Linked DNA regions of Drosophila melanogaster. The protein of the gene in region 1 interacts with the protein of each later gene in a pairwise test. Each region holds a gene or a part of one and is shown in the gene's direction. Other genes may lie near its edges.

Region 1 (4,340 bases):
TGATGATCGTAGCATATGTCACATAGGTTATAGTTCACGCAGCGCAAACACCGGAAGCGGCTACCCTGGAAGATCGTCATTTGACAGCCGTTGCAGCAAATGTTGCGGTGACCCATCCTCGATCCTTGTGCTAACTTCGTTCTTAGCGAATATACCTAAACTCTGGTCGAAAAAACGGGCAAAAGGGTTCTAAATTTTAACAAATCGAATCTATACAATGACATGATTTTCATAGATGTAAAATATTTCGGGGCGTTTGGTAATAACATATAATTCTACTTTTAAAACTATTTTTCAACCTAAATGTATCAAACTTACTCAAGCTTTCTACATATTTCCTTTGCCTCTTTTAAACAAATGTTTATTTTTGGAACCTTAAGTACAGCGAAAAAAAAGTTAAATAAACATGCACTGTACTATTTTGTCCGGTGAGCACAGCTATCTACGTGACAAATAACGATAATGCAATTTGTTTTCCAAACCTATATGAAACGAGAAATAAGCCCCCATTATTGATAAGGAACTAAATCTTTTATCTAAATCTTTTGACAGTAGAAGATAACTCAAAGGATATTTTATATTTGCTCAAATCAGAATGCAGTTATCGAAAATTAAACTTCCCTTGAGCTGAAAATTTAGCTTGAATTTATAATTATACATATGTCCAAATGTAATACAGCTTCAGTGTGTGTACACATAAAATTCAAAACCCAAAAAATCCACAAAAATTGCTATTTTAGTAGGTATTGCGTTGAACACATCGGTTCTAAATGTGGCTGTTGTGCCATTAGTTACTCTTCTGTCTCTGTCTCGGTTTGAATCTCCATCTCGCTCTCTTCTTTTTAATTTTCCCGACTTGGTGCGCGGCAGTTGTAATAGAAGTTTTCCGGCTTCATGCACCTCCGCCCTTGCACCACCCCCTTTCGGCGACCATTGTGGTGGATTCAGTACACTCTTAAAAATAAGATGTTTAATAAACATATAGCAGGTGGAAGCCGAATGGAGCGATTTGCACCAAAACAAAGTAATAAAAACAAAATTTTCTTATTTTTTGCTTATTATTTCCTATCGAAATCTATATACCCCAAGCTGTGATTATTAGATTAAGCGTCTGCGATGAGGTAGCAAAATTCTAGCACTGCATTAACAGAGCTGATTTCTGATCAGGGGTTGAGGACCTTTAGCCTGATCTTTCTTCTTGTTAATTTGTTTTGCTTATTTTGGAGCTGATTAGCTATATACCGATTAAAAGCTTTTCAATTGCCACTAAAAAAAAAGTATAAGAAACGGCGAAGACTTTTTAGCGCTGCATTTAAATTCACAAGCTTAACAGTATTCTTTTAGGCTGAATTTGCTCTCAAAAAAAGTACAATTGGTTTGGAAAATTTTAAATGTTTTTGAATGTAACCAAACACAGCGAAAAAAAATACAAATAATATTTCTTTAAAAAAAAGGATGTAAAGAAATAAACTAGTCTTATTAGTTTAATAAATACAATTTTTTAAGACACATAATTTCTATGTTTTTATAGACGGTACTTGTGGAGTAATTGAGTATACCAAATTCTTTAAAAAGTCTGTGGGAGTTCGAAGAAGGCGTTGCCGAACCTTTACCTATACAGAATATATATATTCTTCACCAGCATCACCAGCGGAGTCTATCTAGCCGTATTCGTTTGGCCATCTGTCTGTAAGCCTGTCTGTATGAACTGAATGAGATTCAGACCTCTAAATAGTTCCAATTCTTTCAGAACCTGTGCCAACAACACTCTAGATTCTTCATTGATTTCATCTAGTCTTGTCTTGTAAATATCTTAGTTCTTCTATTAGCTAAGAAATGGGTATCTGATAATCGAGGAATGCGACTATAGTGGTCTAACCTGTTAAGCGCTAAAATTCAAAGACATAACATAATTATACGTATGTATAAAAAATTAATCCATGATTACAAGGATTTCATACTTAATTATCCCTCCTCATTTCGAAAGTCTAATGATAACCCAGAAAAGCAAACAAGAACATTTGTTGCCGTAACACGTTTGTGATGCGTGAAAACGGAACATAAATGATCTAAAGTAATCTCAAACAACGTCTTCTTCTAAGTCGCCCTTAGTTTTTCTTAGCAACTGTTGCGGACTTATTAGATTAGGCTCGACTTCCCAGATAAGATTGATGTTGAAGGGTTCCCCCCGTTGAGCATAGGCATTGATACAGTGCTCAAATATTAATTTCCCAGACGTCTGGAAATTTTTTTCGTATTTTTGTTGGGTTAATTGTACTTGATTTTGTCAGAACATTGATAATACTTCGGCGCGTGACGACATGATGAGATTGCAGGAGAGTATAAAAGATCGGAGGCGTCCAAAAATTTTATTCACATTAGCAAGACTAACCGAAGTATCAGCACCATGAAGTTTTTGGTACGTTTTACATATACGCTTCAAAGAAAAACCTTTAAGAACTAAGTTGATTTTAATATTGTTACAGATCCTCTTCATTGCCCTATTCGCCGCGGCCGCTGCCCTACCTCAGTTTGGATTCGGCGGTGGATTCGGTGATCAGCAGCAGCAGCAGCAAGGAGGATTTGGAGGTGGATTTGGTGATCAGCAGCAGCAGCAAGGAGGATTTGGCGGTGGATTCGGAGGTGGATTCGGTGATCAGCAGCAGCAGCAGCAAGGAGGATTTGGAGGTGGATTCGGAGGTGGATTCGGTGATCAGCAGCAGCAACAGCAACAAGGCTGGTAAAAACCAATTCATAGCACCGTCTTAACGCAGATACCTCAATAAAAATATGACACCTTTATGATAAAAAAACAATTGGAATTTTTTACTTTATCGTTCTCGAAAATTTATGAGTTTTATGAAAATAAATTTATATTTATTATTCATTTATATTTATTAAATAGTGCCCAGAAATAAATACACTTAACATAAGGGACAACGGGAAATATCTTCTCTTTCAGATGTTCAAATGGTTTTACTTAAAACATTGTAAATATAAATAAAAGCCAAAATATAAAAGCCATATTATAAATATAAGCCAAATTTTCACAAAAATTTTGTTTTTCTTTGAAATATGTAACGCAACTAAAAAGCGGATTCAACATGATTGAAAAAACAGATACAATTTCGAGTATCCTAATCAATGGCCTCCTCAGCAGCCACCCTTTTGTGCTCCTCGATCTGCACCTTGTCCAGATCGACTCCATCTTTTTTGGCTGCCCGTATCTCGCCTTCCCCCTCCGATCCGTCTAGCTGGTTGGTCTGCCAAACTCCTGTCCACGGCAGTGACATCACTGACATGACCTTGACCAGACTGCTATGGTTTTCCTGGTCTAGATCACTCTCCCCATTTCCTTCCCGTATTCGTCTGTCTCCATCCGGCAACTGCAACTCCTCGCAGCACAGCATGGAAATCAGCAAGTGCTCAACGAAGAGGGTTCGCCGCAGCCTTTGAGATTCGTCCGTATCGTGGCACTGCACTTTTTGCTGTGCAATCCACTGAAGTAGAACATATCTGTCGTCGTCGTGTTCGAATGGCCCCCCGGAACTCAAGCCTAACGCCAGGGACTCTGAATTGGCTGCCTCCTCTGGAGGATCATTGTTGCTTAGGAGCTGGGGATCGGAGCTCACACGTCCAGTTGACAGCCATACGGATATATCGAATATCCTTGAATTCGGAGTTGTTTGCAACTGCGATTGGCGGTGGTGGCGCATGTGATTACGGGTAAATATTCGGCGTAGTGGCGGTGTGTCGGGCTCTAGGTAATTGGCGTGATCGATGTGGTTGTGCAGGAGATGTTTGGAAAGGTGGCGTATGGCCACCAGTTCGGCGGCCGACAGTCCGGCGCACATGGGGCAGACCACATATTCATTGGACACCCGATGTTGAACGTAAACATGTTCGATGAACCGCTTCGCTGTGAGCGCAAGTAGGCCGCAATGTGGACAGGTGAAGCAATTGGACAGGTGGACCAGCTCTGGGATTTCGCCGTAAAGCAGCGGAACCAGATCGTCCGAGTCAGGGAACAATTGCATGGGATGATTGGCGCGATGCTCTTCCGTTTCTATCTGATGATCGTAGCATATGTCACATAGGTTATAGTTCACGCAGCGCAAACACCGGAAGCGGCTACCCTGGAAGATCGTCATTTGACAGCCGTTGCAGCAAATGTTGCGGTGACCCATCCTCGATCCTTGTGCTAACTTCGTTCTTAGCGAATATACCTAAACTCTGGTCGAAAAAACGGGCAAAAGGGTTCTAAATTTTAACAAATCGAATCTATACAATGACATGATTTTCATAGATGTAAAATATTTCGGGGCGTTTGGTAATAACAT
Region 2 (5,469 bases), on another chromosome or scaffold:
TATATCAAATCGATCGGAAGTCGCGGCCAAGTTCCTTCAACTTTGCGATTATGCAATCGCATTGAGAAATTAACACACTGAACTCAAATGGTGAACTGGTGCACTTTCGTTAATGAATTTAATTAGATTATGAATATTTTTCAGATTGCTTTAACATTTCGATTTGTATGTAAATTTTCTGCAAATGCTCAAGGTTGAATCTCTGGGTATAAAGTGCTTATTTATTTTGATTTTTTGTTCACATAAATTTTACAACTAGGCGTGGCTTGCCGGCACCTAAAACTTGTGTTACAATATATTGTCGTGCGCGGCATTAGTTAAAGGACTAGTGAAGTGCATTCTAACTGGGAAAAACATATCCATGTCTGGTGAGTACAGTCGCAGTCTAAATTCTGATGATCAAATGGAAAATTTCAGAGCAAGCGGAAATATTACCTGCCATCTCTGTCCATATAAGGAGGATCATTCTGATCTAGCATGGTCAATTCATCGTGAGCTTTTCCTCTAGTCATACAGCCACTAGAAAGCCCTTGAATCGATCGTATTCATACTTCCCCCAATATGGCAGACGCGTGTTTCGGATCTGTGAGATGGGATCAGCTTAGGGCGACATGTCTATACATATTCATCGTCTCCCCCGCCGACTGTTTGCACATGTAAATTTGGCGCGGCTAGATTACATGGTCAGTTACGTGTTATTCGGTTAGAATTCCGCAAAAAGATCTTGTGCTCGGCGGCCATGCAGCGGACTTTGAGACGAAAAATGCAAATGTTTGCTTTGTTGCATTGCTTGGGTTTTTTGTCGAAAAACGCATCAAAAGTGCAGGGTAATGGTGAGATTTTTAGCAGGTAAATTAGAATAAAGGTAGTTGAAGGGTCGTTAATTGAGGGTAAGTAAATCGTCAACCAAGCCGCTGTCAAAGTTCGATCTAATTGCTTAGCTCACAAAAATCGACTACGTAACGTTTCAAGCTTGCACAAATAACAAGTAAGCGTCGGGTCCTCCGAAATATTAAGTATCCGCCAGGTTGCCTGCAACATCCAGGTCTCGGTAGCCGCTTTTCCCATTCGGGAATTTGTATGTTTCAGAAGTTCACGGCGCATTTTGGCCATTTATTGGCCATCACGAAGGCAAACGGAGGAAAGCCAAGTATTGGTCATTATAAATATTTAAGAGCCCAAGAGGCAAACTGGTTTGGTCAGCCCCATCTTCTTCTGCTTTTTACCGCATACGTATCCAAAGATTGGGCTTTGTTGCTGGCAACCTTTCCGCCGCTCTCCCTCGCCGTGATTTGATTTGATTTGATTTGATTTGTGGCTACGTTAATTTTTGCACACTTTTCCGATATGAAGGGCCGGGCCTGGGCAGGGGTTAATTAACGGACATTCTTGCCGAACTTTGAACTGTGCAATCATGCGCGCTGCCAAGACGCGGCAAAAGTACCGCTCCGATATTTGGATTGGCGGCAATTAGCGCCGCACTTGGGTGTGGGTGCAAAGGCGGGTGATACCCCCACTGGTGGATACCAAGAATTCGATTCCAAAGGGCCGCTGGCCGATCTCGCTCTCGCTCTGGCATCCTGACGCCCGACCCGATCGCTTCGGCTGTCAGAGCGAGAGCACACATCGACAACCTGTTGCTCAGAACCTGTGGCTAGCGACCGAAGCTTTCGACTTCGGCTCACCTCAACGCCAGCGCCATCGCCACGCTCGCCGAAAATGAGCGGTCGGCGGCGCCGACGATCTGCGTCGACGTCTGCGCCAAGTCCGCTCCTACGACTGCGAGGCGGTATAAAAGTAAAGCGGCAGCGTGAAATCAAACTTATTTCAGTGTTTTTGATTTGAATGTAAAAAGCGCACGCTCGCCCAGTCGCTGTCCAGTTGTTGTCCAGTAAAGTCCAGCGGAGCAGCAGCAGCGGCAGATCGGTCGCATCAGCAGTAGCATCAGCAGCAGTTCCCCGCAACAGTGATGTAGAAACCATAAAACCGTATAACGATGGTCAAACAGTGTGTGCGTGTGTAAAACAATAACTAAAAACCTACAAGCAAGAAAAACGAAAAAAAAAAACGAAACGAAACGAACAAGGATAGTGCGCTAAAAAGTGATAATTCGTATACCAAAGTCGAGAGAATCTCTGTAAATTAGTCAAAAAAAAAAAAAAGAAAAAATAAATAAATACAGTACGCTTCCTTGTAACAAACGGAATATAAACGCGCATTTAGTACCTGTTGAAGCGAATTTTAGCACAATGGTAAGTAGCGGGGGTTCCCGACCGAACACCCAGTGTGACTCAACGGAAAATTGATGCCACTGAAACCTCCTTTATTAAAATGCCTTTGCAACCAGTAATTTCGATGCCGACCCCCAACATGCAAGCCTGAATAAATAAATATACATGATCGTACGTTGACTTGGGCTTTCCGTTAAATCCCACAACCCACAAATGACCCTTTGCACACGACTCGTGTGTGCTGCTGCTGCTATTAAGCAAGAAATTAATAATAAAAAAAAAAATAAATAAAGCTCCTATAATGAATATCCGCAATGCAGCCGTTAAAATTAATTGAGCAAATTATTAATCGAGAAAACCTCTCGAGCACCAGCCATTCCTGGTTCTTATTCGTTTTCTTTGGAAATGGAAAAAAACCGCACGCCAGCAACTGGTTTTCGTTTTCAAGTACACATTCGCTAGCAAGGTTTTCCACTGTTTTTTCCCAAATGCATTTTTGCCGACTCCGCGCAGACCTTTCCACGCTTTTCGCCCACTTTTCCCCCGCTTTCTGCCACAAAACATGAGCGTTTTGCTCTGTTCTGTTTTGCTAGAGCCATTCGCTTTCGAGCTCCGCCAAAAGTGCATACAGAAACTGCAAGTGCTGCACTTATTTCGAAGCTGTCGCTGTGTTATGTCCGCAGTTGCAGCAGCAGCACTTACACCAGCAACATCACTGGCTGGCGGTCAAGTGAAGTGAAGGCTGGCTTTTGGCTTTGACCAGCTCACTAGCCCACCAGCTCACCAGCTCACCAGCTCACCAGCTCACCAGCTCACTGGCATGACAACATTTCACACGGAAATGCAGTGCATCGCTGACCTTGAATCTCGGCCGGGGATATGGGATAACTGGCGATCGGAGCGCAGGTGAAATGATAGCCAGTCAGGGCCAGGCCGACTCATTTGTCCCGTCCACCTTACTTATGCTTTCGGCCCATCATTGCAGATGCTGCTGCTGTGTAGAAATCCAGTGATTTTCATATTCATTCAGCAGCTCTGCAAATTCGAGAGAAAAAACCCCAGTGGGTTAACCAATCGCCGCCGCTACTACCGCTGGCTAATGATCACTGGCATTGCACCATTTCACAAAAAAAAAAAAAAAAGAAAAAAAAAAATAAGCAGGCAACCCAGAAATCGAAACTTATTCAAATCTTCGAGTTGTTTTCTTCTCCTTTTGGCCTCTTACACAATGATTATTACACCTCGATTTTATTTTCGACTGGGACTTTTGCCGCATTTTTGTGTTGCCTCTTTTGACACTGAAAAGTGCAAAGGCGCTGGCGGCGAATTTTACTAGTTGCCAGTTGGCTATGGGCGGCTATGGGCTATCGGGTCTGGGTTGTTTGAGGCTGCTTGTTGGAGCCAGAGCCACTGCCACCCAGCTGCCAAACTGCGCAGCCCCCGCCAAGTGATCATAATAAAAAAAAATGTGCCTTAATCAGCCGATTTGCTTGCATTCCCTGTGGGCCAGTTAGCTACATTGGAGAGCCAGTCTCAGACGCATTGACGTCGCTTTATTGTTGACTGCCGCTCGGCACTCAGCTGTTTTTTGGTAAGAGAATCATGTAGAGAGCATATAGTAAACACAAAACCATAGGCAGAGTGCCCTCTTAGTACTTAGTGTGTGTGTGTGTGTGTGTGTGTGTGTGTGTGAGATAACGCTTGCCGCATGTGACTGAAATCGCAGTGCATTCGCTGCTCCATTTCGATTTGTTTGGCTCCACACGGCGTATGCGCGATTTTCTCAGTAGCTAGCTAGTCTTCGTTCACTTCAATTGCGAATATGCCATTTGGGCAAAGGTTTATTGTTCTACATAAAAAAAGTGCGTGTCTCTCAGCAATTTTTTTACTGGCTGTGTATATTCCCGAGCAAATTAACACTTAAAAACTGATAACGCAAGCGAAGAGAGGAATTCGAGGTAGATAAACGTAAAGAGACCATTAAACGGAGAGTACCTGAAAATGATTACATTTATGGACTCTTATCGGCCCGTGATTGAAGTAAGTGTCATTTGAAATTCAATTATTGCTCGTTGGAGATTAGACAGAAAAGTTATGCCAGTAAAGGTGTTAAAAACACTAAAAATAACAGCTTTTAAATTATTATTCAAACACGCTGGCTTGCATATTTTACAGCTCTTTGAGTGCCTTTTTTTTTTTGCAATTTTATACAAACTCTTCGTTCCCGAAAAAACAATTAATTTATACATATTTGTCGCTTTAAACTGGGTCGGTTGGATGAATTTATTTGTATAAATTAAATTATTTAGTGGGCCATGCTGTCATACCGAATTCGTGATTAAACATATTTCCATTAGTGCGAATTTAGATGGGACTTAGGTGCTAAAGTTGTTCGATTTTGTTTTTAAGTATTTTAAAAATGTTTAATAATATTTTCTAAATAATTTCCTTGTCGTACAACAATAAATTACAAATAAATTCCATTTTAAAGCAACGAACGCATTTGCAGTAATATATTTTCGACACATTTAATCCGAACACAAAATAATTAAATCAACATCAACATTGTGGGGCTAAAGCAAAATTTAAATTAGTGGACAGAAACAACCTGATAAATACGCGAATGTAAAGTGATTGAGGAGCTAAAAGTCATTGCTTGTTTAATTGTGTGGCTAGTGATTTACGGGCTTGGGGGCAGAGAACTTTAGGCTGGGAAATGGCAGCAGGGACGAAAACCAAAGTTCGACATTCCCAATTCGAATTGCATATTATGCCTGAATGCCTGAATCCAAATGGTATGGAACCATTTTTAATGCAATCGTCTAACATAAACGTTCACGAAAAAATCAACATTGGCGGCCTGACAAACGCAATGTAGAATGAATCAGCTAAAATATATCCCCCGAATTGAGGCTTTCAAATGGTATTTGGGGAACTCACTTACACTTACGCACATTTAGCCAACCTGTTGAGTATTTGCAGCTGTGCACTTGACTACTGGCTGAGTTTTTAGTTGCTGCAAAAACTGCTTTGCACTGAAAGAAATTGGTAATCATATAATCTTATTAACCAAAAAATAAAAATGCTCAAAGGTTTCGAATTTTCCAAAACCTATTGAAACTTCTTCATATTACCATATTTCTGACTGACCTAAATAGTTAGTGAATAATGTGGAAAATTAAATCTATTCAATACTTTATTTGCATAATCAAATCATTCAGATGACGAAACACGCCCA
Region 3 (3,332 bases), on another chromosome or scaffold:
CACACCCTGCATCAGTGGACGAACCTCAGTTTGGGCGACGATCTGTCCAAGGGCAATCGCTTTCTGCCGGTGGATGTGGACATTGAGTACGGCGATGAGGGCAGGCATCGCACCTTTCTCACGATTCCGCGACTGGGGATGGCCACACCCTTCACACTGGCCACCGTCATTGCGGAGCACAATGAGCTGGTGGAGAATCCCAGACTGGAACCGTATCCCAACGAGGAGTGGCACGTGCCACCCAACAATTGCTCCGGCATCACCTCAGCCATTAGGACTTATGTAAGTAATAAAGCATATTTTCCCAACAGAAGATATTTCATGAATATTTATCGTTTTCTCCCAGATCGACGAGTGCTGGCGACTCTGGGTGGTGGATTCAGGGCAGGTAAACTCCCTGCAGTTGTGCCCGCCACAAATTCTCACATTTGATTTGGTGAAGGACGAACTAGTCCAACGACACGCACTTCCGCCCGATTCCTACATTCCCAGCGTATCCATCTTCACGGCTTTGGTGGTGGATCTGGCCGAGAGGGGCACACCCAACCGATGTGTTGGCGGCAGAGCGTATATAGCCGATGCCTGGGGTTATGGTCTAATCGTGTTTGACTCCCTGACGGGACGATCCTGGCGCATAGAGCATGAGTCCATGAAGCCGTCGCCCTTGCTGAGATTAGGACGCTCCAGCAACTCGCAGGCGGGAATATTTACAGTGAGCCTCAGTCCCAGCGAAGTGGAAGGTAGCTATTCAATTTAAATTCTAAATACTCAAAAATTATTTATAATTTCCAATGCAAATTTACAGACCGCTTTCTGTACTTTCACACGCTGAACTCCTTTAATGAGATGAGGGTTCCGCTCTCCCTGATCAACAACGAGACCTTCTGGAAGTCTGCGAATGCCAGCAGGGATAGCTTCCACAGCCTGGGCACCCGAGGAATCCAGTGCGAATCGGAGGTGATGGATCAGTCGGGGAATCTCTACTGCAGCCTCATCAGTTTAGGGGCGCTGGTGAAATGGGAGGAGTCCGTGTCCAACTACACGGCGGATGACCTGCGTGTGGTGGCCTACAATCCGCACAAGATCAAGTTCGTCACGGGCCTCAAGATCAACAGGAATTCCAAGGGAGAGGAGGAGCTGTGGGCCTTGAGCAGCCAGCCGAAACTCTTTGTTGGCGGCGACTTGCCCGCGAACGAGGTCAAGTTCCAAATAATTGGCTGCCGAACCGCTGACCTGCTTGCCAACACGCCGTGTACAGTGGGCGCCGCAGAAACCACGCCCACCAACGTTTAATTAAAACTTAGTTTTAACAAGTTTGAAACTGCGTCAATCGATTACTCTGATTTAAATTGCTGGCTGTAGAAGGCTGGCTGTTATGGCGCAACTTTGATCTATCGATAAATTGCTGACTGTGTTTAGCTGAGTAGTATGGCATTTGATTTGCTGACTGTGGATAGCTTTGTGCTATGGCACGTGCTTAGGGCTTGGTCACACTTAAGTTAGCCAATTAGAAAAGTAAACAATGTCTAACTGGAAGCCGTCAGGCTACGAATTACTAATTAGAAAATCTCCAACTAGACATGAATAGGAAAACCTCTAACTAGATTTGAATAGGTAAACCTCCTATCGATAGTAGCCGGTAAATATCGATATCGAATTACCGGGTGACCATCGGCTTAAGTTCCAGCTCTATGTTTACGTGTAGAACTTTATTTTCGGTTTAGTTTTGTTTACCAATAAATTTCGTTAGCTATGACAAATCTACAACGCTGGCTATTTTACGCATCGCTCTTTGCGATTCCCTATCTCTCCGTTGTTTTGGGAACAGTGCAAACGCCACTAACTACCAAGTATTTCCTGCACATTCAGCTTTTACCACTTTTGCTCCTCGTGATTTTTGGAGTGAGTTTTTGGATATGAATCAATGCAGATAACACCTCTTATTGACTACTACTATATATTACCCACAGATATATTCCGTTTGGACTGTTCTATATAGAACTCTGACTTTTAACGATTGTCCCGAGGCCGCCAAGGAGCTGCAGGATGAAATTCAGGAGGCTCGCAAGGATTTGATAGCCAAGGGATTTCGGTTTCGAGATTAGGAGACTTCCAGCTCGTAGGACTTGTGCATGTTAATCTGTAATTCCATTATTTATAAAAACAAAAATTACGCAAATTTACTCTAGACCGCATTTTGTGTGGGCGGACGCGTTGTTGGGGGCTGATTTCCCCAGGTGTCGGAAGTTTGGTGGCCAAATTATGTTGAGGTTTTGAAAGGATATGCTTGAAAAAGTATGGAATATGTTTATGTTTAATTGGCTTAGCTCCCCTGTGAATTACTCAAAATAAAAAATATAAGAAAACTAAAAAAGTATATGAGGTAAAATACGTTTAAAGAGATTAATAATATTCTTTACGGAAAACATATTTTTACTTAATGAACATGGTATATGGAAAACTCGTAAGTGCGAACCATATATTGCAAATCCATGCTTTGGCTATCTATTTCCAATAAATCAATTTTTTTAAAATTCTCTTAATTACAATGCGAAAGAGAAAAAAATATACTGTTTCAAAACTTTAATTTTCTCTTCTGCAAAATACTGGAAGGAGTTATAATTGCGAAGCTGAATGTTGTGATACTCAAAAGATCCAATATAAACCGATTAATAGCCATTTGAAGTTAATTTGTGTAATTTTTTTTTTAATGGCGGACAATAGTTTGAAAATAGAAATAAATTTCAAGAAGATAATACATAGTTGATGATAAAAAAGATAGTACATTTATTTACTCATGGTTGGGCAGTCTGGAAATCGGCTTTCTAATGGCCGACTGGAACTGGAACGGCGGTTTAAGCGTCAAGCTCTCTACAACAATCAACAGTTCGCGCTCAGCCACCGAACCGCTAACAACACGACCGCCGTTCGTTACGTGCTGGCTATATAACTGCATTTATAAGAAATTCTGAAGAACGAGAAGCCTGAAGATGAGTCACAAAATCGCCGCTGTGTGCCTCTTGATGAGCTGCCTGATTGCCACGGCTTATAGTGCCGCTAAGGTGAGTTTCCGGCTCGGAAAAACCCTTCGCCAAACTAGCGAAAAATCAGCCAACGGGGCCAACTAAGCCATTACACAACAGCCAAGCGTGTCAGGGGCACTCCGAATTGCTTTTACCATTTAGGTGAAGACGTGATTAAGTCGAATAACTAAATAGTGGGGGTATAGGAATACAAAAATGCAAAATAAAAAAATCCATAAAAGAGCTGCACCCTTTTCGTGGCAGCAACAAGTGGCATTTCGAGAGTTTAACGAACTGTGCCACACGTCG

What was found. Proteins that work in one complex are often made in the same cells at the same time.
Region 2: the proteins of CG31775 (region 1) and Elovl7 interact in a two-hybrid assay, tested with the Drosophila melanogaster proteins (one large-scale study listed by BioGRID).
Region 3: the proteins of CG31775 (region 1) and Dpm3 interact in a two-hybrid assay, tested with the Drosophila melanogaster proteins (one large-scale study listed by BioGRID).

The regions. Positions count from the first base shown.
Region 1 is NT_033779.5:14,735,798-14,740,137, reverse strand, and holds CG31775 (uncharacterized protein), read left to right. Parts: upstream 1-2,368; 5' UTR 2,369-2,407; coding exon 2,408-2,419; intron 2,420-2,486; coding exon 2,487-2,744; 3' UTR 2,745-3,048; downstream 3,049-4,340. Other genes in the region: CG42585 (uncharacterized protein), read right to left, coding at 1-116; CG31835 (uncharacterized protein), read right to left, coding at 3,138-4,187.
Region 2 is NT_033777.3:7,992,203-7,997,671, reverse strand, and holds the start of Elovl7 (ELOVL fatty acid elongase 7), read left to right. Parts: upstream 1-1,819; 5' UTR 1,820-2,249; coding exon 2,250-2,252; intron 2,253-5,469. UniProt on the Drosophila melanogaster protein: Catalyzes the first and rate-limiting reaction of the four reactions that constitute the long-chain fatty acids elongation cycle.
Region 3 is NT_033777.3:13,401,409-13,404,740, reverse strand, and holds Dpm3 (Dolichyl-phosphate mannosyltransferase subunit 3), read left to right. Parts: upstream 1-1,689; 5' UTR 1,690-1,752; coding exon 1,753-1,902; intron 1,903-1,970; coding exon 1,971-2,105; 3' UTR 2,106-2,182; downstream 2,183-3,332. Other genes in the region: yellow-e3, read left to right, coding at 1-282, 347-740, 806-1,293; GILT1 (Gamma-interferon-inducible lysosomal thiol reductase 1), read left to right, coding at 2,991-3,062.